Linked DNA regions of Daphnia pulex. The protein of the gene in region 1 binds, or shares a complex with, the protein of each later gene. Links are inferred from orthologs where the notes say so. Each region holds a gene or a part of one and is shown on either strand. Other genes may lie near its edges.

Region 1 (10,959 bases):
TGGCGTCGATCCAATCGAGAGCTTTCGCTACGATCGCAAGGGATGCCAGTTGGGTCGAGCCAAGTCCTGTTTGAACACCGCCCTGGATATTGTTTCGGATGGCAACGTCAGACAAGTTGTTGATGAAGAAAAGCCGGACTTGCTGGTCGTCGAAATGCTCGATCGAGGCTGCAATTTGGGCTGTGACGACAGCTGTTATCTGGCTGGAGGTGCTTATCTGGTCGGCGTGCCGGGATTGCTGGAGAAGAATGTTTCCACCGCCTACAAGTACGACGTCAAGGCATGCCAACTGGGCAATAAACTCGCCTGCGCTAATCTCAGCGGCGCTTTGCCAATGAAAACCCACGGTCCAATGTCCAACACCTTTCAAGTCCGCCGGTTGCAGTTGAAAATCAACAAGGAGTTATCGGAAAAATCCCCCAAATTACCCGCCACCACCTGAATTTCAAGTTTGTAGCGCGTCCCAAAAAAATAAAAATAATTCGCAAAATTGTATTACAGGCCTGGCCAATTGTTTGTATATATTTCAGACATGTCTCGGCTGGGATTAAACGGGTTTATCAGATTCTCGACGTTGCGATAAGGTTTTGATCAAGTCGCTGTGGAGGATTTCCCTGGAAGAAATGTTGGTCGAAGCCGTCAGTTGGTTGCTGCTCCGGTTGGCGTAGTTTGCGCTGTACGGGCGAGCGCGTTCCAGTCGTTCCAGGCAAGGGCATTTCTGCTTGAACAAGCGCCAAACGTTGGGCTTGCAGACGAAGATGGCGAAAGTCAGGACGCTGGACGAGGTTTCGATGACGTCTATGACGAACGCCGCTTCGTTGAGACAGCCGATGGCGTACGCCACGAACTCGGCCAACCACGAAACGATTTTCAGGACGAACAAGCCGAAAATGACGCGCAAGCTGTTGAATTAAATATATTCAAATGATTCATGCCAAAAAGTGAAGACATTTATGACGGTGTATGTATTGATGGGAAGAAAAGAAAAGATGGCAGACCAACCGGTATTTCTCGCGGGAGTGGCGATTTCCCGACCCGATCCCAGCTCGTCGAAGTAGAATGCTTGTCATGACGAAAAAGATGATATCGACGAAAATCAAGACGCAAACCGGACCGTACACGTAAGCGAACATGGCTCCGTAACCTGTGGGGTGATATCACAGTGTTTTCATGGTCATCAGTTAAAAAAGCTGTAAATGTCAGTCTGTCACATTATCAATTTTTTTTTTTCTTTTTTAATTTTTTACTTGAAAACCAGCAGGTGTCCTCTCCGAATTCGGGTCTGATGACGGCCTCGGAAGTCTTGTAATAATCTAAAACCTGTCCGACTGTTACGATGACGGCCGCCAGACCCCACGAATAGAGCGAATAAGCGAAAAAAGGTTTGCCCAGTTGATTTTGACGGATGGCCGTGTTGACGGAACTACACGGTTGCATGGATCTGCACAAACCAAATGTATATATATAGTTGGAGTGCACACAAGAGAGAGTCGTGAAATTGTTCCTACTTCAAAGTCCACCAGATGTCGAAGCAAACAACGTTGAGCCAGGTGTAGGTGGAAATGTAGGAGAAATGAATCAGGATGGCCATAATTCGGCAAGCGACAGTCGATCGGGTTGTGCCAACCAATTGGAGAGTGCCAAAAATCAGGTAAGCAGCAGCTCGGGAGACAACGTAGCACATGATAACCACACCTATTATAGTGTTATAGATGGTCAAGATTATTTTTTGGAACTCAAAATGCGCATAAATTGATATTTCAACCGTGGATGTTTCGAATTTCAGGAATGAGGGCGTAGACGGCGAATGTGGCGACTAGGAAGAAAGACGAGATGAACAAGAAGATGGAATAAATAGGATTTGTATCATCGGCTGCGACACAGACCAGAGCATGTTGAGCGGACTACATTATTACACCAAAAGCTTATTGAAAATTCGGAAAAATTAATTCCAGGTATTTTTCAAATCTAGTTACCGTGCCGTCAACGTCCATGAAATAATCAACACAATATTCATCCGTTATTAGGTCAACATCAGTCTGACTCTGTGAAGAGCATCGTTTTTTGGGGAATACGAATAATAGACCGTTGGATCTCAGATGGTAATCGTGTTGATTGAGAAGCTTGTGCTTGTAGCCATCTTTACACTGTGGAGCTACTCCGTCCCGAACGAACATTTCTTCGGATTTCAGGTTAAGCGAATAGCCGGTTTGATTGTAAAGCGTCACGTTCAACTGGCTCGAGTAATTGATGCAGCGCGTCGTGGAAATATCGAACGCCTTGAAGGTTGGACAGCATTTACGGATGCAGGTGTCTGTGCGGTTGCACGGATCTCGGACGCAGTAGCGGGCTATCAACTGTCCGGAAGGAAAGGATTCTTGGATGCAAAAGTCTCCGGATTGGTAAGTGACGTGTTCGTCTTGGCTGAAAATGGAGCCGTCCTCGTAAAATCTGAATTCCGTGGAACTCATTCCAACGTAGCCTTTTGGGCAGCGTTTGAGGCGATGCGTCATTTGAAAACTGTTTGATTCAACGCGGACGGGAGTGGGTTCAGCACTCCTCTCCACAGAATAAACGGGCGGGGCCGCGGACATTTTCGAATGGGTTACGGAGCCTTTCCAATCGCGGCAGACGTCCAATTCCGCCATGTACTGCAGATTGTATTGATATTATTTGTTAATTTTAAATCTTTTTTTTTTTTAATGTATATTATTATTATTAATTACAGCTTGATAATTCAAACAGCATTTCGTCAAAGGCGTCTTGGAGTGGACGGCCGATACTGAGCTGGATAATACCAACATCCAGCAAACGTAACCAAAGTAAAATGTTTCCAAAATAGATTTGAAATTCCGCATTATGAACTTCCCTGTTTTGCATGACATGGAATGAAGCATGTTGAATAATTGTTAAATGTCATAATTTAAACTAGGAAATATTGGACAACACCTACCATTTATGATTTCAGCCTTAGGAAAGGAGGGATTTTTATTTTTCCCCGAACGATTTGGATAACTTGACGTGATTCACTAGTCGACAGTTTTGAGCGTCGCAACTCACTGCCGTGTCACTTTCGACAAACGGTAATTTGGTGCATACGAGTGAATTATCCTTTTCAAGAAACCGCAACCTCCGTCGTTCCGTTTTGTTTCGACACACACTCGGAAGTGACCCACTCCAATTTCGTTATCCTCTATACATCATAAGCCACAATCCCCTAAAAGGTTAGCAACATTTGATTACACGTTACCTCATTTATCACTCGCTAGGAAAACGTCAACTTTTGTAACGAGCGTTCATAAATGAGTGTATTAGGAATACGTCACGGACTGCACAGGGGGTTGACCGACCACTTTAAAGTAATCGAAACGATAAAGTGACGCTTTGGGGTCGAAACGTAATTAGAATCCCTATCGGGACTTTTTTAAAAATTTGTTAATAATATTTTTTGTTTCTGCAAAAATATTTAAAAAAGTATTCCGTTTGTTTCTTATAAAAAAGAAATTTAACATTTTAACCTGAGAATAACGGAAATTTTACTTTTGTAGCAAATTTGTATAGTTTCAAAGTTTTTTGTAAACCAAATGTATTCTTTGTCTCAACGTATTTAATGCGATTTAATATATTATCAGACGGAAAACACAGTGTTATTTTCCAACAAGCAGTTGCAACCACATCCTGTAGGGCATTCGTCTTCTTCAGTGAACCAATGCGACATGCATCTACCATGACCACCGTGTCCGCACACCAGACAAAAACTCGCAGAGCCTGAAAATAAATGATTCAACCATTATGCCACCTCTAACGCTATTACATGACTGATATTTACTAGATGGTTTTAAGATAGTTACCTTTTACAACAACTCGACAAATAACGCAATTGAGAAGCAAACGCTTGCAAAGGGTGCATTGCGGCCCTCTAACCGTAGTCCTACAAGGAACACACTCAGTTACGAAATCCACGCCTCTATGAGGATCAATGGGAGTGGATAAATATTTCAAAACCTTGAATAGACAAAATTGGTTTTCAAGAAGTACGGCCAAGAAGTTATTATTTTTAATCCGCATACCAAAACGCGAGCCTCGAGAAGTCCCCAGCGATAAAGGATATCAGCATAACATCGACGGTAGTTGTCAAATAATCCATTAAATTTCGGATCTAGTAATCTTGAAATCAAATTGAGAAAAGAAAACGCTTAGTTACGAAATTCAACAACAATAAAAACTCTTGATGTGAATGCGATCAAAATTTCAAAATTATTAAAAATTTCAAACCTGAAATCCTTGTCTTTATACTCTTCACTTCCATCAGTCCCATTCACTGAAACGACGCTCGTCACAGAGTGGGGTAGGAAAATGGAAGCGACTGAAATAAAAACCCATTCAGACAAAATTGATAACATTTCTAAAAATTTAAGGAGAAGCCCTTACTTGGCAAAGGGCGACCACTTGGGACAGAGTTAATTCCAGGAGTTGCAAGACGAAAATCATCAAGTGAATCCGACCACGAATTTGAACGTATTTGTTTTAAGACATTCCAGCTATCTAAAGTTGTGTCGCCCGGGTGTATTGTATGATACGGTGATTCTCCTGGCTAATGTTGAACATCAGAATAATTAAAGTTCACTCATCATAAGAGCTTAAAAGAGAAAAAAGCGAGGAAAAATAGGAAAACTCATATTCTCCACTATTGTGATTAGATATTTTTCATGTAAAAAAACCATCACACTTACGTGGGGGTAAAATCTAGAGGAATATATGCCTACCTTTAAACCCCACCGTAAGTTGCGCTGTAGGAAAAAAAACTCATTGATATCCCGCAGTCAGCATTCTCAAAATCCCAGCAGCACCAAGGAAATAAGCCACAGTGTTAGAGAGAGCATGTTGAGACAAAGAAGTAGCGATATTATGGAGCAAGATAATTTAGTTAAAAAAAAAAAAAAAAAAAAAAAAAACCAAAAACAAAAGGACAGACCACAAAGAATTTGAAATGCAATTATTCCCCTGAAAAAGGAAGGCGAAACCAGATTGCAATCAGGAAACGGAAGCCGAGCACGAAGAAATTAGAATAAAAAAAGATTTTATGATCAGAACACTCGAGAGAAAAGCCAATCCGACGATCACCTTTTTAACAATCAAACGTAAGACCTTGCTTATCGGTTCTAGTGCTATTAATCGTGATACCAAGTTTCAGAATGCCAGATTTCATGTTAAAAAATTAAAATAAGCTTCTACACTTACGCTGCCCGATTCCGATCGTGTTGTTTTACGCCGGAAAGTTTCCTGACTATCACATTTGTAACCAAATGCGCAACACAACATGGCTACAGTTTGTATATCTCGTAATTTCACGTAGTGGTCGATACTGTAATAAATTATAATGTTGGTGTGTTGTTTTAAGTATACGCTAAAGAGATCAAATAAATACACATATACATACATCGCATGAAGAAGCTTCCGGCCGAATGGATTTTGAGCCCATGGGGTATCAAGGTCATTGGTATTATTTTCGTGTATCAAGGTAGGAGTTGCCAGAAGGGCACCCAACGACCAAATGTAAGTCAAATCTTTTCTGCCAAACTGCGCAGCAACCGCTGCATTTTGGTTGCACATCCATGCCGTATCAGTATCGCTAAATCTGGTGAATAAAAATATGTAATGAAACTATGACTAAATCTGATTCAAGGAATTATTATACAAGAAAATATATAAAAGATAAACTAACACATATCTTTCTGCTAATTCTAACTGCTGTGGCATCAATCCAGAAGCATCGTAAATCGTCACCATTCCGACCACCTTATGATGACGTGCCTCTTGAGCTCCCCTTTTATTTTCGTCTGAAGACGAGCTATAAGAGGAAAGTCTATTTTTCGACTTAGAAGTTCGAGATTTCTGTCTCTGAATGAATTACAAAATATTTTGTTATTTAATCAGCAATGGAATTATCTCATTAATAAAAGGCTAATGTCAGCAATCACGGAAATACTTCCAAGTATAGCCTACCCTGTCTTGGTTATAAAAAGACGAGATGCTGACTGACGGATCACCGGTCGGACTTTGAGCAACGGGCGGATACAACAATCCATAAGGAGTCGTATTTGATGAAGCTACCAAGCTATGCTGTACCAAGTTTGATGAATAAGCTTGGTTCACGGATAGAGAACGAGGTGTAGTTGAAGTGTCCGAAGTTTTACTGTTCACACGCCTTCAATTATATAAATAAAATAGAACTGATGAATTCCTAGTCGTACGATTAATCATTTCAATTAATCAAAAACCTTAAATAGGATGGTCGACCAAAACAAATCAGCATACCTGTATAAAATAAAACAAGGGCAAATCAATATAGCAGTTTGCTGAAGGATATTTTTATGTTTTTTGTTTTAATGACATTACCAGCACTGCAAAATCGAGCACCGGATGACCGAGGGTATGGAATATTGTGGTCTTGATGATGAGTTAGACTACCAAATAAACCGCCATTCTGTAGGAAACCAGGATGCCCAAGACCAGTTTGCGGTAACCTAGAAAACAGATTCGTTAATTATGTTTAGTAGCATATTGAATATACGTTTCATCTAAGTAACTAAATACGAATTAAATGTTACCTGAAAGGAGTATTTCCGGTAGTTGATGAGTTGACATTCAATGTTATGGTCTTTGACGATTCCGTTTCTGACTTATCAATTGGTGTTAACTGATCGACTGAAATTAGAAGTTGTTGTAGCACGAGCTCTATAGACGGATGACCTTTGCGGCACGATAGAGTTGCTGCTTGTTTCAAAACCTGTACAATGCCGCCGTGTCAAATAAATCTTTTGAGTTACGCAAGAATAAACTCTCTCGAAATACTTTTAACATTTTGCTTCTGGCATTGTTGTCAATAGTCGTTCCTTTTCCGAATAGAAAATTTGGAATCGCTCCGTCGGGATACGATGGAGGCATAGAAATATGAAGTATTATTTGATGCTTTGCAGTGCGAATCACTGTTGTTAAGCTTCGTTGTGTCTCGTCTACATCGCAAACACTGATAGAGTTATCAGTACCAATGGAACCTGAAGAAACAGAAAAATAACCACAAATTTATTCCAGGGAAAAGTTTACGTATTCAGTTAATTACTAATAGTTCATTTGGGACATAAATTTACCTAATGACTTAAGTTGGTCGATTTCCTTGTTGAATGAATAATGTTCAGGTTGAGAAATCGCATCTATTCCGACGATGCTACTGTTTATTGACAGCGCAGACTTCTTTTTCCGATGGGATGTTGGTGATAACGTGTTGGTTAGTACAGCTTGTGCTGCAGCTATAGAGGCTGCTACAGTTTTATGTCCAGCTAGGCGTAACGAGTCAGGTACAATTATAGACGGTGCCAAACTATGGTGAAGGTCTAAATAGGTTTCTTCCACTACTTCAAGCCCAACTTCAATGTCTTTGTCGCTTTTTGTTGAAATTGCGTCAACAGCTGAACATATTAAATAATTAAATAATACAATATAAAACAGATTTTTCATGCTAATAATTAATGAATTTATGTCACCAGTAACGTCATAAGTCGATTCGTTTTCTTCATATACGATTTGTGGTTGATTTTCAGGTTCATAGCCACATAACTGGCAAAAAGAATATTTTTAAATATTTTTTTACATAAACCAGAAAAATAATTGAAATTTGAATTCGCCCTACTTTTTGAAGGTTAACATCCACTCTCCAAATTCGTAAGCTCTGATCTTTTGACCAGGTGATAAGTTGATAGTCGTCGTCATCTAAACATATAAAAATCAAATAATTTCAAAGTCCAAAAATTTAAATTTGAACGTTTGATTATACCGGAACGGGAAGATTTCCAATCAAACTCAAGAACTAGATCGTTATTCCCAAGAAACGAATGAACCGGATTAGACAAATCGGATAGACTCCAAAGTAGCAAACTGTTTTCTCCTCGTCGTAATTGTGTTGTCATCATGCCATCGCCAAAGGGCTATACAGGCAAAAGAAAAAAAATATCGTTAATTAGTAGTTCTATTAACTATTGATTTATCACACACAAATAACTAAAAAAAAAAAAAAAAAATTAAGAAATTGTCATATTTACAGTAAATCGCGCTCGCCAAACCGGAGACACGGTTCTAAGGGCATTCTCGACTACACGGGGATTGTTTACGTCAAAGAATTTAACAGTACAATCTTGACTGGAAGTAGCAAGCTGATATTCTTGGTTAGCACTCCAGTCAAGCCCATGAATTTTGTGCAAATGTGCCGCAATGTATTGCACGGGGGAACTCCCTTTCCGCCAGTCCCATAGTCGAACGTCTCCCTCATGAGCAGTTGCTAGTAAATGGCTGGTAACGCGGTTCCATCGCACTTGAGTAGCTCCAACTGTAAACAATATTTAGACTATACAGATCCTATTTGTATTATACTAAATTTTGTCCCATTTTATTTTACCTACGGCAGAGAGGGAAACGCATGGCTTTCGAGGGTCTCGAATATCCCATATGTTAATATAAGTGTCAACTGAACAGGAAGCCAAGAGATAAGGTTCAAAATGATGCCAATTTAAATCGCTGACTGCACGCGTGTGGAAACGTAAACAATAGAGAGGTGTGAAGTCAATAGAATTCCATGAAAGAATCTCTGTTCGTTGATTGCTCTATAACAGAAACTGTTCAAAAATCTGCATGGTAAATGCAACATTGAAGTAGTACAAATACCGATATGGCACATAGGTGTGAAAGATGTGAGTGTGGATTCCATTCAGCTGATCCAACCTCCCATTTGCTTTGACGAGGAAACTTCTTTATCACTACTGATGGATTGTCAACATCAACAATTGCTAAGCACCTTCGTCTTGAAGAGTAAAATATAAAAACAAAAAACAATTAATAAATTATGAATGAATTGGAATGTCAAAGAGTGCTTCAATCATATCAAAATTATTAAATGAGTTATTCAAAAATTTATTTACCCAGCCAATAGCACATATTGTCCAGAACTATCAAGAGCCATTGTGCTTGCCTAAATGAAAGAACCCACTTGTTATTATTTATTTTTGTTTGTAAAGTAAAAAAAAACAAAATTAAAACAGTATTATTACCTGTAGATCCTTATGTTCAGCAACTACATATTCATTACTCCATTTGGCTGCCATTTTCTTCTCCCTAAGAAAAAATTGAAGACATTAAAAAACAAGTAAACTGAAAGCTCAGAAATTGAAACACAAACACAAAGATAATGTCATTTCAAAGACAGAGTAGAGAAAATCTCAGTTAGGTGACTTAGCCTATATTATTGAATAAAATTCCCATTTGAGAACACCATTTTTCCATTATAATTAGTATTAAATTTACAAACTTCATTAAATCTAATTATTTGATTACTTTTTTTAAATTGAGGAGTAGAAATAGAAAAAGTTGAAAGAAGAAAATATAAACAGAACAGACGAACCGAAAATTCATGAGGGCGTAACGCGCAAGCAAGTAGCAGACGATTCAAGGATTTTTTTTTTTTTTTTTTCGAATTCAAATCGATTCGATTCGATTCAAAGGAACTTATTGAGAATGCTTCCGCATTCCGGAGTGGTGATTCAATCAATGTCTCATCATCTCATGACCCTTACATAATAATACTACTGATCATTTTAAGTTAAAATCTATAGTTAATTTTTAAATAGACTTTCGGCAACCATCAGCACGCACCAGTGAACATTTTCTTCCGACTTCCCGTGAACAATTATTTCTACGAAGAAAATGCAATCTATGCACATTATAAGAAACACTACATATTATGCATACAAAACGTATGCAGGGAAAATTATAAAATTAATGGTCAAGCCGTCAAGGTATCATGCCTATCATCTACCTATGAAAACCAATGATGGTGTCTAACTTGCAAAGCATTTCTAGTAGCTAAGCCCGGATATAATCCGCGAGTCCCTTTATCTTTTTCTTGATATGCTCATTTTCAGGAGACCATCTAACGAAACAAAATCTAAAAATAATGCAGTGTTCAACACACTGACACACACACACACACACACACACAAAAAAACCAAAACTTGTACATTATAATTGGCAAAACGGGAGGTTGTCTAAAGCACGAGCTGTTTTAAAACATACAGTTAATTCACCAGTGCACTACGGAACTTCGTACAACTTGTTCTTTTGTTTGACTATACACTTAAAACTGCTTTTTAATTTATTGTATTCTTGGCTTGAAAACATGAAGTTGGATACAAAGGTACATGTAACATGTGAAAACAAAATTTCGTCGAGATAATTTACTTTTCTTCGCACCACTCGTTCTCCTTGCGTACTTGCTCTTCCTCACTAGGGGTGAAATCGTTCTTGATGTTGAAGGTCTTGCGAATCTCTTCTGGGGTTTTCCCCTTGATCATGTTTGCAACAGTCTTGCAAGTAACATCCAGCAAGCCTTTAATATCCAGATAATTGGCAGCCTAAAAACAAAAATATGTACATTACATTTCACTAACATTTTTAACTTAAAACAATTGTAGAATGTTTTCATAGGTGTGATATCAGAAAATGAACACTTACCAAGATGAGTTCAAACAGAGTTCCTTGATCTACTTTGAGGAAATCAGCATCCCATGATGAGATATCATCAGTACGTTTTTCCTTATTGTCATCATCCTCTGGTGGTGGGGGGTCATCTTTGTGGTAAGTTGCCCACTGAATTACTTTACGTAGAATAGCAGAATTGACATTGGGTAAAGGAACAACTTCTTCGTCATCTTCATCCATTCCTAAAACCAAAATTGAATTTCAATTGAACGTTACCTTTTTTAAGCATTTGAAAAGAAAATAATGACGCATTTGCCTATAAATATCTTTGTGGTGCAACTTTTGATTTTATTTGTTACATTAACATTAAGCTTATTGAAAAATATTACCTAGATCCTCAAGCATTGTTTTGATTGTTACTGAACACTTGGC
Region 2 (10,623 bases), on another chromosome or scaffold:
TAGTAGTTCTAGTAGCACAATTTTTAAATGAAACATTTACTGTAAGTATTTTATTCTACAACATAAATAATAATTTCAATATAAAAATAACATGTGACAAAAAATTAATTGTATTCTATATTTTAAAGGACTTGGGATTAATAGAGAAAACAATCCTTTGGAAAATGTCCCAAGCCAGCATGATCGACGCATTCCAGCGGGAAAAAAATTCTACGAAGGACTAAAGGAAAAGATAAAGGAAGCCAATCGCATATGTGGTAAGTTTTAACTACATAAAAAAGTGATAGTAGTACTAAAAGATTTCATTTCTTCAGAAATTATAGACAAAATGAAAATAAAACAACCAATTCAACGCTTGGTCTTCTACGATGTGCATAGACCCCACATAGGGCATATATGCCCTATGTGCTTGGAACCAAGTAATACAACTTAAACATTAAATAAATTACTTTCTAAGGCTGACATTCTTTACAGGGCTGGATATGGAGACTTATGAATATGTATCTTGTGACGCAGACTTTGATGTTTTGCCTATTGTTGTTGAGGAGGGAAGTTCTGATGGCGTAGATCCTGAAGAAAATGGTAAAACCTTTTAAAAACTAAATAGTTCATAAGTTCAGTCCCTCCACATCCACTTTTGTCCGATGCAGATGAGGCCATTGAAGTTGCAAATGTCAAGGCTCTTGACAACCCTGATGGTGGAATTGTTGGAGGAGCTGAATGTGATGCTGAAGGAAAGAATGAGGAGGTTGGAGAAGCAGAATCTGGTGAAGCAGACCCTCACATGGGAGAAGCCGTTAAAGAAGTGGAGTACAATGCCAAGGCTGAAGGAGAGAAGGAGTCTGGGGGTGAGAACGGTTAATGCATAGATATTAATATAGAATGATTATAATATTTTATAATTAATAAATAAACAGAGTTAGAGAAATCGGATGTTGCAGGGCCCAGCCGTATGAGGAAACGTCGTTTGACCAAGCGTGGTCCAAAGAATTTTAAAAAAAGTTTAACTTGGTCAAGGATTTTCAAAAGTACTGCAGTGCTTCGGGTAGGTTTTCCACACAAAAAAAACAATTTTTTTTACTGACAATAGATCTTAATTCTAGATACCGACTAAGTCACTGAGTGACACCTAACTATCCTTCAAAACTGTTTACCCTATGTTCCAAAACATTTGTTCTAATTTCATTGCTGCAAATAAAATTCTTTTTGGAAAAATTAAAAATGTTATACCTAGAATTACAGGCAGGTTTTGTTGGCAGACGTGACAGGAGAATTAGTTGCCCCTTATGGCCTTATGAGCATATTTGCAGTCAACGGATGAGTACAAACTAGGCCAAATCCAACATTCTTCACCAAGAACCTTGAGTTATTGGTCGAACAGCCACTTGTCTAACTTTTGTTGTTGTATTTTTATTTATGTGTTTTACTTAACTTACTTGCTACATTGAACATTTTTTTAGGGTGACCAAGGATATGCAAAGAGTGATGCTGTCCACATGAATATTGATGCACTTGAAATTGAATGTGCTACCGGTAACATTGGCTACTTTTGACAATACTGTATGTTGTATTTATATATGTATTCATAATTTGTACTTATTTGTCACATTGAATGTGTCTAGTTCCCAGGTAGCACACAGAGCTGTTACAGACTCATGTAACCGATCTGTTTCACATACTTGTGAAACAGGTCAGTATCAGGCTTGTTACATCTCTGTTTTACAGGAAATTTGTCTGGAATGGCTCTGTTTTACAGGATTTGGTAAAAGTTTGTTTCACAGATCTGGAACAGATCTGTTATCTTTCTGTAATACATAAATCTGGTTTTTAACTGTACTACAGACCTGTTACAGATCTGTTTTTTACTTGAGAAAATTGTTTCTGATTTAGCTCTGTTTCCCATGTTTGTCACTTGTCTGTTTTTACTCTGTATTTTCGAGTACAATATGTTTCTGTTCTGTGTCTGTACTCCAGGTCTGGTACGGGTCTGTATTTCCCTTGTAAGACATAAGTCAGTTATCATCTGTTCAGAGTCTGTACCCCAGGTATGGTACAGGTCTGTATTTTCTATGTAAAACTGAGTTCAATGATTATCTGTTCTGTGTTTGTACCCCAGGTATGGTACAGGTCTGTATTTTCTATGTAAAACTTAGTTCAGTGATTATCTGTTCTGTGTTTGTGCCCCAGGTATGTACGGGTCTTTATTTCCCTTGTAACACCTATAAGTCAGTAATCATCGTATCTGTGTCTGTATCCCAAGTATGGTACATGTTTGGATCCCAATGGAAAACTGAATTAAACGTTTCTTATATGTGTAATATCACTGCAATACCATGCAGTAAGAAGTTACACTCTAATAGTCAATGCAGCTAATGGCTATGAGTTTAGTTCAGTAGGCCTACTCGAACAACAACAATAGTTGTTTATCCACCGGACGGAGAAGTATTATTATACATAAATAGGTATAATAAAGACTTGTAATTGGTGTGGGGCCAATCTTGGTCTTGTTACTATCGGAAGAGACCAGTGGTAGTCATATGTAGCAATCAGTTTCGTGAGAGAGACATGTCAGACTGTTTGTTGAATGAACAAGTGTACAACTGTGAAATATACATCATTATGAAATATATCTAGAACATAATATCGAGTTATGGTGTAGTGGTTAGCGTACTGGCTTGTGAACTCAGAGGTTGATAGTTCGATTCCAGAAGGAGGCAAATCTTTTTTTTTCTTGAAAATCTGTTTTTGGTCTGTAAATCGTGATCCCGTTTTACGGATCTGTCACAGACCTGTATGACAGTCTGTAAAAGTGTGCCACTCCAAACAATTTACAGACTCTCAAAAACAGATCTGAAACAGACCTGAAACAGAGTCTGTGTGCTACCTGGGTTGGACTTTGCTGAAACTAATGATGCTGTCCACCCAACCTCTGACGCTACAGCAGTGGTAATTAATCATTTCAACTATTTTGGTTCCTGAATTAAACCTAATCTAACCTTTAATAATAATGTTGTTATTTCTATTTTATTTAGGTGGACCAAGGATCTGCAAATGGTGATGCTGTCTACGTGACTGTTGATGCACCTGAAATTGAAGATGTACCGGTAACATCAGATACTTTTGACAATAAGGTATGTTGTATTTCTGTATTCATAATTTGTACTTATTTTTCACATTGAATGTGTCTTTAGTTGGACTTTGCTGAAACTAATGATGCTGTCCACCCAATTTCTGACGCTACAGCAATTAAAGTTGAATTGGTAATTAATCATTTCAACTATTTTGGTTTCTGAATTAAACCAAAAAAAGTTCCCGAATCATCGATGAAGCTATTACGCCCATAGTGTAAGTGGTTATTGCCCAGACCAGACCCATATGACTGACCAAAGCATCGTAGCAATTGCAACGAGACTGCCAATAGCCATGAGGAGTGAAAGCTGTCATCTTCATCGACACTTCGGCCACAAAAACGAAGCTCAAACAAGAGCTGATAGTGACACTGGGACATTTTTTAGTCGAGATAAAGTTGCAGCGGCAACAAAAAATGTCCCCCTTGTGGGTGTGTTATAAATCATTTGGTAAAACTGGAAAAAGGGTATTTTTTTCTTATTCCAATAACTTTTTTGCTGTGTTACTTTTGATAAATGTAATTGAAAAAAGTAAAGAAGGATAAACGGGCTTCAAAATAAGACTAAGTGGGGATTTTCGGGTGTTTTTTTTTCTTATGTAGTATGAATTTTTAGTTTTGGGATTCCGCCATAAGCGCCGTGTTAAACACGGCGAAAAAATTTCTTAAATAAAAAACAATGTGTATAACTAATAAATTCATGAAAAAATAGTAAATGTCAATCAAATTGATTCAAATTTGCAACACATGTTTATTGATAGATAAACTATGATTACATGTATTAAACATTTATAAATCGTTATAATTATACCCCTAATTCCCAATTACAAATTTTCATTTACATTTTTTTAAACGATCCAAATGGTCGCTTTTGTCCTCCTTCATTGGTAATTAAAGAAAAAAAATTAGAAATAGTGTTCATGAAAAATTTCTAATTAAAATTTGTTCTAGGTATACTCGTATATTTTTCAGCTAAAATGACTGGACTACTTGGCCCTTGGTCCCGCCCCTGCCAAGCCCAATCTCCGGTCGTAATCAAACAGTTCAAATTCAAATTTTCGTTTTCGTAAATTTTTAGTGCTGCCCCTCCCGCCCCAGCCCAACTTCGGTCGTAAACTCGTAATCAAACAGTTTGTGATGAAAGACGATAAGATTGTCGCTACGCGGCGCTGACGTTGATGTTTATGTTTATGTGTAATCTGAGAGGCAGAAAATGGTCATTTCTTAGACACTTTTCCAGGTCCGATTAATCAGCGAATATTGCAAACTAATCAAATTCAAGTGCCTTGGACCTAAATCACTATAACTTCGTTACTTGAAAAATTTCCCTGTAAATAAGTGATGGCTTGAAATGGTGGCGTTTCTGTAAACAAGACCTCACATGGCGCTTCAGACGGTAGCCTAAATCAAATAAAGGGGCGATTTTGTGTGTTCCTTATCATTTTAACTAATTTTTTTGATTTTTAATGTGAATTACTCATGTTAAAGAAATCCTTTTTCATAGGTTGACTATCCAAGTGATATAGTCGAGTAAATCAAATAGAAAAATGATCAAAGCAATATTTTTTTCCGAGTTTCATCCTACGTTGGGGCCCAAAATCAGTTACCAGGTAATGGTGTAGTGGTGTGTAAAATAAAGTAATTTTGTTGTTTCAGTGCTTTGTCTTAATATCGATTAAAAGGTGCCAGAGGATTATGTTTCCAAAGAAATATTTGATGCAGTTAGTGTTTACATCATTCCTAAAGAGCAGCTGGACAGTTGTATCATTACAGTGAATGTACTAGGGCACAAGATAACAGGTTTTTATTCAAGAATTCTAACAGTCCAAGTATTTTGACTCATTACCATCCTTTTTTCTAAAACCTACAGGATATCCAGTGCGCATTTCAGATGAAAAATACCCACGTAACTTTCTCATTTTCAACTTGTGCTTTGTGTGTGACTCTGATGCCAGAACAGTGCAGTATGAGCTTGTAGTTAGGAAATTAGCTGAGCATTTGGTCACCCTGGAAGTTGAACAGAATTTTTTATCCACTGAATCCAACAGGGCCAAGTTGCCCAAAATTTTAGGTCAAATTCTAAGTGATCTCAATCGGGGTGGCTTGTGCACAGTTACAGGTAGGTACATGAAGATTCTCATTTTTTGTCTAACATTTCCGTTTCCGACATTTACAAATTGATTTGATCAGTTGGGACCTCAACACTGCACTTAAAAGTGATCCAAGTAGCTGCTGAGCCACCCCTGGTATTTGACCACCACGTTCCCGTGTTCACGTCAGAATTTTCTCCTTTAAAACAAGACTATTGGGACCTAACAACCAAACAGGTAAACGAAAATGATTCTCTTATTTTATTCATTTTAATAACCCTTTTTCGTGCGTAAGGTACTGCCATACATTGATGGACGCAGCCATGTCGCTAGAGTGGCAATCGAGGCCGACGTGGACATTGGTTTGGTCAAAGCCTGCATTCAAAATCTCTTGTAAGTCAATTGATATAGTAGTCAAGTGCTGTCCTTCTCTTGACCTTATTTTCTCTTTTCGGTTAGATATTACGGCGTCGTCCAGCTCATTCCCATCTTCCAGTACAGCAACATGTACGCCGCTACACCCAAACTCCGAGAACTGCCCATGAATTCAGATTTGAGTCGAGAGTGCATCGCTTTTGTTGCCAAATCTGGTAGAGAAGAATACCAAGTGTCTTGTTATCATCTTATCCACTTTTCAAGTTGACTGTGAATTTCTTCTCTCGTTTATATTACAGATAGACATCCTCCTTCCTTCCGAGATGTTTTCCAAATGTACTGGTGAGTTTATCCTCTAATTCTTATCAAATCCCCCCTAAATGAATTCATTTTGTAATCGATGACAGTGGGATGACGTACGGGACTACCATAAGAGACCTGTGCTTGCGCTTCAATCCGCACGCGCTTCGCATCGACGAACATCGGCTAGTCCAGTTTGGCGTCCTGCAGGGCATCATCCGCCGCATTTGCAAGGTTAGCGAGTGTGCGCTGTTGATTAATCCAATTGATTATTTCGATTTCTTCCTGGACGTCGGTTCTCGAATAACCCATTTCCCATTGAACTGATAACTCAATTTGCACGCTGTTTGAATGGGCTAGTATCCGGTGTACAAACCGGAGACGCAGCGCGGATCGCACAAGAAACAGATGACCTCGTTGCATCGGCTGTGCACTGGAGTGGCCTCTTACGACGAGATCTGCTGCCGCACCGGACTGTCCTACCACGAACTGGACGACAAAATCGAAGCCGATGTCGACATCTGCGTCCTGTGGAAGTGAAATCCGTTCCCTCCGACCCCATATCTTTTTGTATCATTTGATTTAAGTTTCAATAATAAATTTTATAATGGCCACTTTTTTTTTCTTTTCGATTGTGGAGGAGCAGCAAGTTCAACGGTCGTTGGTGAGGATCACCTTGCACGTCTTTCCCCATCGTTTGCAATCGGATCCGTCTTGATTGCACACACACACAACCCACCAAGTCCTCTCGATCCTCCGTTGTTATCACGCCACTTGGGATGGTGGTGCTGCCCCGGTGTCGAGAGATGAACGGGAACGCCCGCCTTCGTGTTTGGCGATTCGTTAGGAGTCATTGCTGGCTTCCCACCGTCTTGAAAGTCGAGCGAGTTATATAGTAGAATGCCTGTGGAATTTATTTTTTTACCGTTTCCCCTTGCGCTAGACAAGGTGGGGGGCACTCACGCGGGCGAGTTATATTTCCAGCAGCCGTATAGAGAGCGCGGGCTGGAAGGTACACCAGTAAATCTGTCGGCTAGTTGACAATCTTTTCGGCTGTTAAAACGGCGGGGGGAAAAATAGACGAAAAAAGAAACAAAACAAACAATAAAGAAAATAGAAGCCCCCACACACACACCCCACACAAAAATGGGACTGAACTTCCCACCAGCGTAGTAGCTATGCCACATTGGCCGCCACCCAAAAAAACAAAAAACCCTAATAAGATTTACACGCATCAACATGGCGACGGGAGGCCAGAGAATTTTTTTTTTTTCTTTTTACAAATAACACGAAAAGAAAAGATAAAAGCCTCTCTTGCTACTGTTTCTTTCAAAGTAGCTCCCAAAAAGATACATAAGAGCGTCGCCAGGCTAGCTGCTGTTTAACAACATATTTTTTTGTGTTTCCTTTTTTTTTTTTAGAAAAACCCCAACCAAGAAGTTTATGCTGATAAGGAGTCGACAAGCTTGTCGACAAGTGTTGTTAAACCGACGCACACGGTCACCCACCACTTGGGCCTATCTCAATGGGGGCTGCTGCTGCTACTCTCCTACACACGGACACTTCTCAAAGCGTAAATATGTTTTTGTTTGGCGATTCAACTCTTTTTAATTATTTACTATGTACACATAATTGAATTGGTTTAATTATTCTGCATTCAGATATTTGGAATAATAATTATATAGAAAATACTATAGGCTCCGCCAGTTTAATATTACACCCCAACTTCCTGCTGGGCGAACCCGAGAGCCGGCCGATTGGAGCGATTAAATGTCGATCGATTTCCTTAGTAGACGCGATCAACCCTATACGCCGTAGATCTTAAACTGTACATGTGTGATATGCGTAGATATCGAATTTGTCGCTGCTGCTGTGAGGAAATGGTCGATTACACTCGGCTGTTTTTAGCGATGGCTATCAATAATCGACGTCCATTAATAATACGCCGCCATTTTCAGCTTCTAGTCGCCCGATGACTGTGTCGTTTTTCCACAGACTTGGATTACTTTCATCAATCGATCGTTGCACTCCCACCCAACCGCCCACAAATATGCAAATCCGGTCTGAGGGCGCCCAGGAGTTCATAGGGGCCGATAAAAGCACACGCGATATAGTTTTTGCTGGTAGTAAAACCACCAAATCTTTTTTACCAAAACGAGGGACGTGCTAATTTGAAAAAAAGTTTGATGGACGACATTGTGCCTGTCATATTCCACCCTTCCACCCCCCACCCCTCCTTTCAAGACTATTTTCTCGTCTCATTACGCAGGCGCGCAACCCGTTCGTATTCCTTCCCTAGCTGATTGTTTTCTTCTTCCTATGTACTAGGAAAAACTCCGATGTCAGCAGCAGCAAACGGCCTGGAGACCCCATGCTGCAGGTCATCATTCTTTTTCTTGTGGCCCCGAGACTTGTGTGTGTTGCTGGTTCCACATAGTCGCGGCCGTTATAACGTCGTGTAGACATAACCCCTGAGCGCGCAGTTTGTGTTAGCTACGGTTACACACAGCAGCAGAGACACACACAAACACATATGGAGTCGAGTTATTTTTTTCTGTGTGTGTCTTATTCGAATGGCAACGAAAAAAAGGAAAATGGAGACCACAACCAGATTGCGTATCCTCTTCTACTTTGTTCGTGCACCCACCACCATCAACACACAGCAGACACAGGTCTCCTTTTTCGCGCCCGGATATGACCTGTCGCGCCATCCTCCTCACCATCGGGTTTTTTCTCTACCCCAAAAACTTCTTTGTCAGCGCTTAACTGGAAGAAGAATCTATTCATCCAACAACTTTTTGACGGATGAATTTCTCGCCCTTAACTTCATTCATTTAAGTCGCGTGTCGTCCATGTACTACGCGGAAGAGGGGGGTGGGGCCTATATAGGCCTGCGGTAATAGGACACTGATTTGTTTATTTGTAATGCGCCGGAGTATATTACATATCCAAAACCGGAAGAGTTTGGTTGTCTAGCCCCAATAATGTTTTTTTAAAATTGAAAAAGGTTATTCACACTTTAATGAAGAAGCTGAACTCGATTTGTTTTCGCTGAACACCTTCTTCTTCTGTACATTATAGTCAGTCGAGTTGAATCTGCTGAAATAGGAGCCGTTGAACTGGCTCCTAGCTGGATATGCCCGTCACTTGATCGCCAATGAAATGCCCAGAGCAGACAGCAGACGAGGCAAAGTCATCGACCACTCGGATTCGGCACGGTAGATGTGCCCGCTGGATGGCGTCGGCCGTAATGAGTTAATTCAATCATCCGTCCATATGAATAATGCCATGGATAAAACAGCACCAACCCCCGCCCATTAAACACGTCAACAACCCAATTGAGAAAAAAAAAGGGTCAGAAAATAAGTTGAACGGCCGTAGTGTCATCTTAGACGGACCGGAATGAGAGACCAGATCTCGCACTCTAACATCATTATAGGAAGTAAATGTAATCAAAATCAAGAGTTGTTGACAGTCGGCGATGATTATGCAAATATCAATCGTCATCATTTGAATGAACGTCGACGTAACAGGCCGCTAAGATGTTGGGAATTAGCAAATTTCCCCATCGTCCAGACGGAGGGAGGGAAATAAATAAAAAAGCGGGCGACGGGCCGGAATGACCGGAATCGAAAGCGACAAGGAGAGACCCACAAATTTTATTCTCTTCCGTCGCGGAGTAAAAAGAAATTCCCGTCGGTCCCAGTTCACAGAAAACGGGGTGGGGTGGGGTGGTGCGCATAATAACATGCAACCAACAAGAGGGGAGGAAGTCGAAGAAGATGTTACGACGGATGATTTACTATTCGACAACTCCGCACTTTAGATAGTATTGACTTCCGACCATTTAAATTATTTACACTCGGCCTATAGACACACACACTTTAACAGTTGTAATAATTTTTCGTACATATACTTTGTGGCGCCAGGAGAATAACAACTCAATCATCAGCTGTTTCTACTTGTTGACCTCCATGGTAGGTCCCCCCCTTCCAAAAAACAAACACAATAACATCATCTCCTATTTTTTTCCAACGATATTGAGACCTTGACTATGCAGGTTTGTTCATGAGGATCGAGTTAAACTCATGTAGTAGAAGTAGTAAGTACTAAGGAGGGTTGTATAGCACGAGGATGACGTTATATATCCACTCGAGTCGTCAGATCGATGCGCATCTATCCAGTCAGAGGCCTAGAGAGGAGAAGTTAAGCGGAGTGAAAGGGAGACGAGTGCGACACGCCCAGTCAAACTCAATGGAGGGGGTTTGTGACAGTTGACACTGATACGCCGTGTGTCCGAATGGCTCATCTTCTTCTTCTTTTGAGAGGTCACCGCGCTCTCATCAGGACCAACCCAGATGACCTTTTGCGGAGCCCGTGGAAAAATTATCCGAAGAATGTCTGGAACGAACTGTTAATCTCTCTATGGCCCAGCTAACGATGTAGTAGCTTAGACTTTTGGTAATAATATCGATCGTTATATTCAAGTTGTGTAGATGAGAGGATTCGTGTTGCTAGCAGCGCGCAAAACAACCCTATAACCTCTTGATAACCTTTTACGGAAGGCCATTAGAATTGATAGACAGACTGCGGTGGTGTTGTATAAGAGTTTAGACTGCGGAGTCGAATCGACGCAATTCGATCCCGAAGAAATTATAATATTATTCGAAAAACCCTCTCCACGTTCATTTACACAATCAGTTGAGTTTGAAATTGATGGCCTGTTATTCA

Evidence for each region. Proteins that work in one complex are often made in the same cells at the same time.
Region 2: GATOR complex protein WDR59-like (region 1) and GATOR complex protein NPRL2-like share a complex: the UniProt entries of both Drosophila melanogaster proteins name them as parts of the GATOR complex. The link is inferred for Daphnia pulex from reciprocal best matches to the Drosophila melanogaster genes Wdr59 and Nprl2.

What each region holds. Positions count from the first base shown.
Region 1 is NC_060019.1:12,024,815-12,035,773, forward strand, and holds GATOR complex protein WDR59-like, read right to left. Parts: upstream 9,493-10,959; 5' UTR 9,463-9,492; coding exon 9,452-9,462; exon of another isoform or gene 9,385-9,451; intron 9,166-9,384; coding exon 9,102-9,165; intron 9,023-9,101; coding exon 8,973-9,022; intron 8,855-8,972; coding exon 8,719-8,854; intron 8,658-8,718; coding exon 8,453-8,657; intron 8,384-8,452; coding exon 8,100-8,383; intron 7,986-8,099; coding exon 7,835-7,985; intron 7,771-7,834; coding exon 7,691-7,770; intron 7,618-7,690; coding exon 7,545-7,617; intron 7,470-7,544; coding exon 7,152-7,469; intron 7,059-7,151; coding exon 6,856-7,058; intron 6,791-6,855; coding exon 6,612-6,790; intron 6,528-6,611; coding exon 6,400-6,527; intron 6,319-6,399; coding exon 6,282-6,318; intron 6,209-6,281; coding exon 6,007-6,208; intron 5,902-6,006; coding exon 5,726-5,901; intron 5,639-5,725; coding exon 5,441-5,638; intron 5,366-5,440; coding exon 5,242-5,365; intron 4,832-5,241; coding exon of another isoform or gene 4,791-4,831; and 13 more. Other genes in the region: cytochrome c oxidase assembly factor 7 homolog, read left to right, coding at 1-442; G-protein coupled receptor Mth2-like, read right to left, coding at 548-902, 1,003-1,144, 1,248-1,441, 1,509-1,695, 1,766-1,904, 1,977-2,651, 2,727-2,858; S-phase kinase-associated protein 1-like, read right to left, coding at 10,284-10,460, 10,561-10,769, 10,917-10,959. UniProt on the Drosophila melanogaster protein: A component of the GATOR complex, which functions as a regulator of the amino acid-sensing branch of the mTORC1 signaling pathway.
Region 2 is NC_060028.1:1,953,376-1,963,998, reverse strand, and holds GATOR complex protein NPRL2-like, read left to right. Parts: upstream 1-4,287; 5' UTR 4,288-4,553; exon of another isoform or gene 4,554-4,631; 5' UTR 4,632-4,674; coding exon 4,675-4,737; intron 4,738-4,809; coding exon 4,810-4,927; intron 4,928-4,997; coding exon 4,998-5,246; intron 5,247-5,317; coding exon 5,318-5,454; intron 5,455-5,512; coding exon 5,513-5,610; intron 5,611-5,676; coding exon 5,677-5,807; intron 5,808-5,891; coding exon 5,892-5,934; intron 5,935-5,999; coding exon 6,000-6,126; intron 6,127-6,252; coding exon 6,253-6,432; 3' UTR 6,433-6,506; downstream 6,507-10,623. UniProt on the Drosophila melanogaster protein: An essential component of the GATOR subcomplex GATOR1 which functions as an inhibitor of the amino acid-sensing branch of the TORC1 signaling pathway.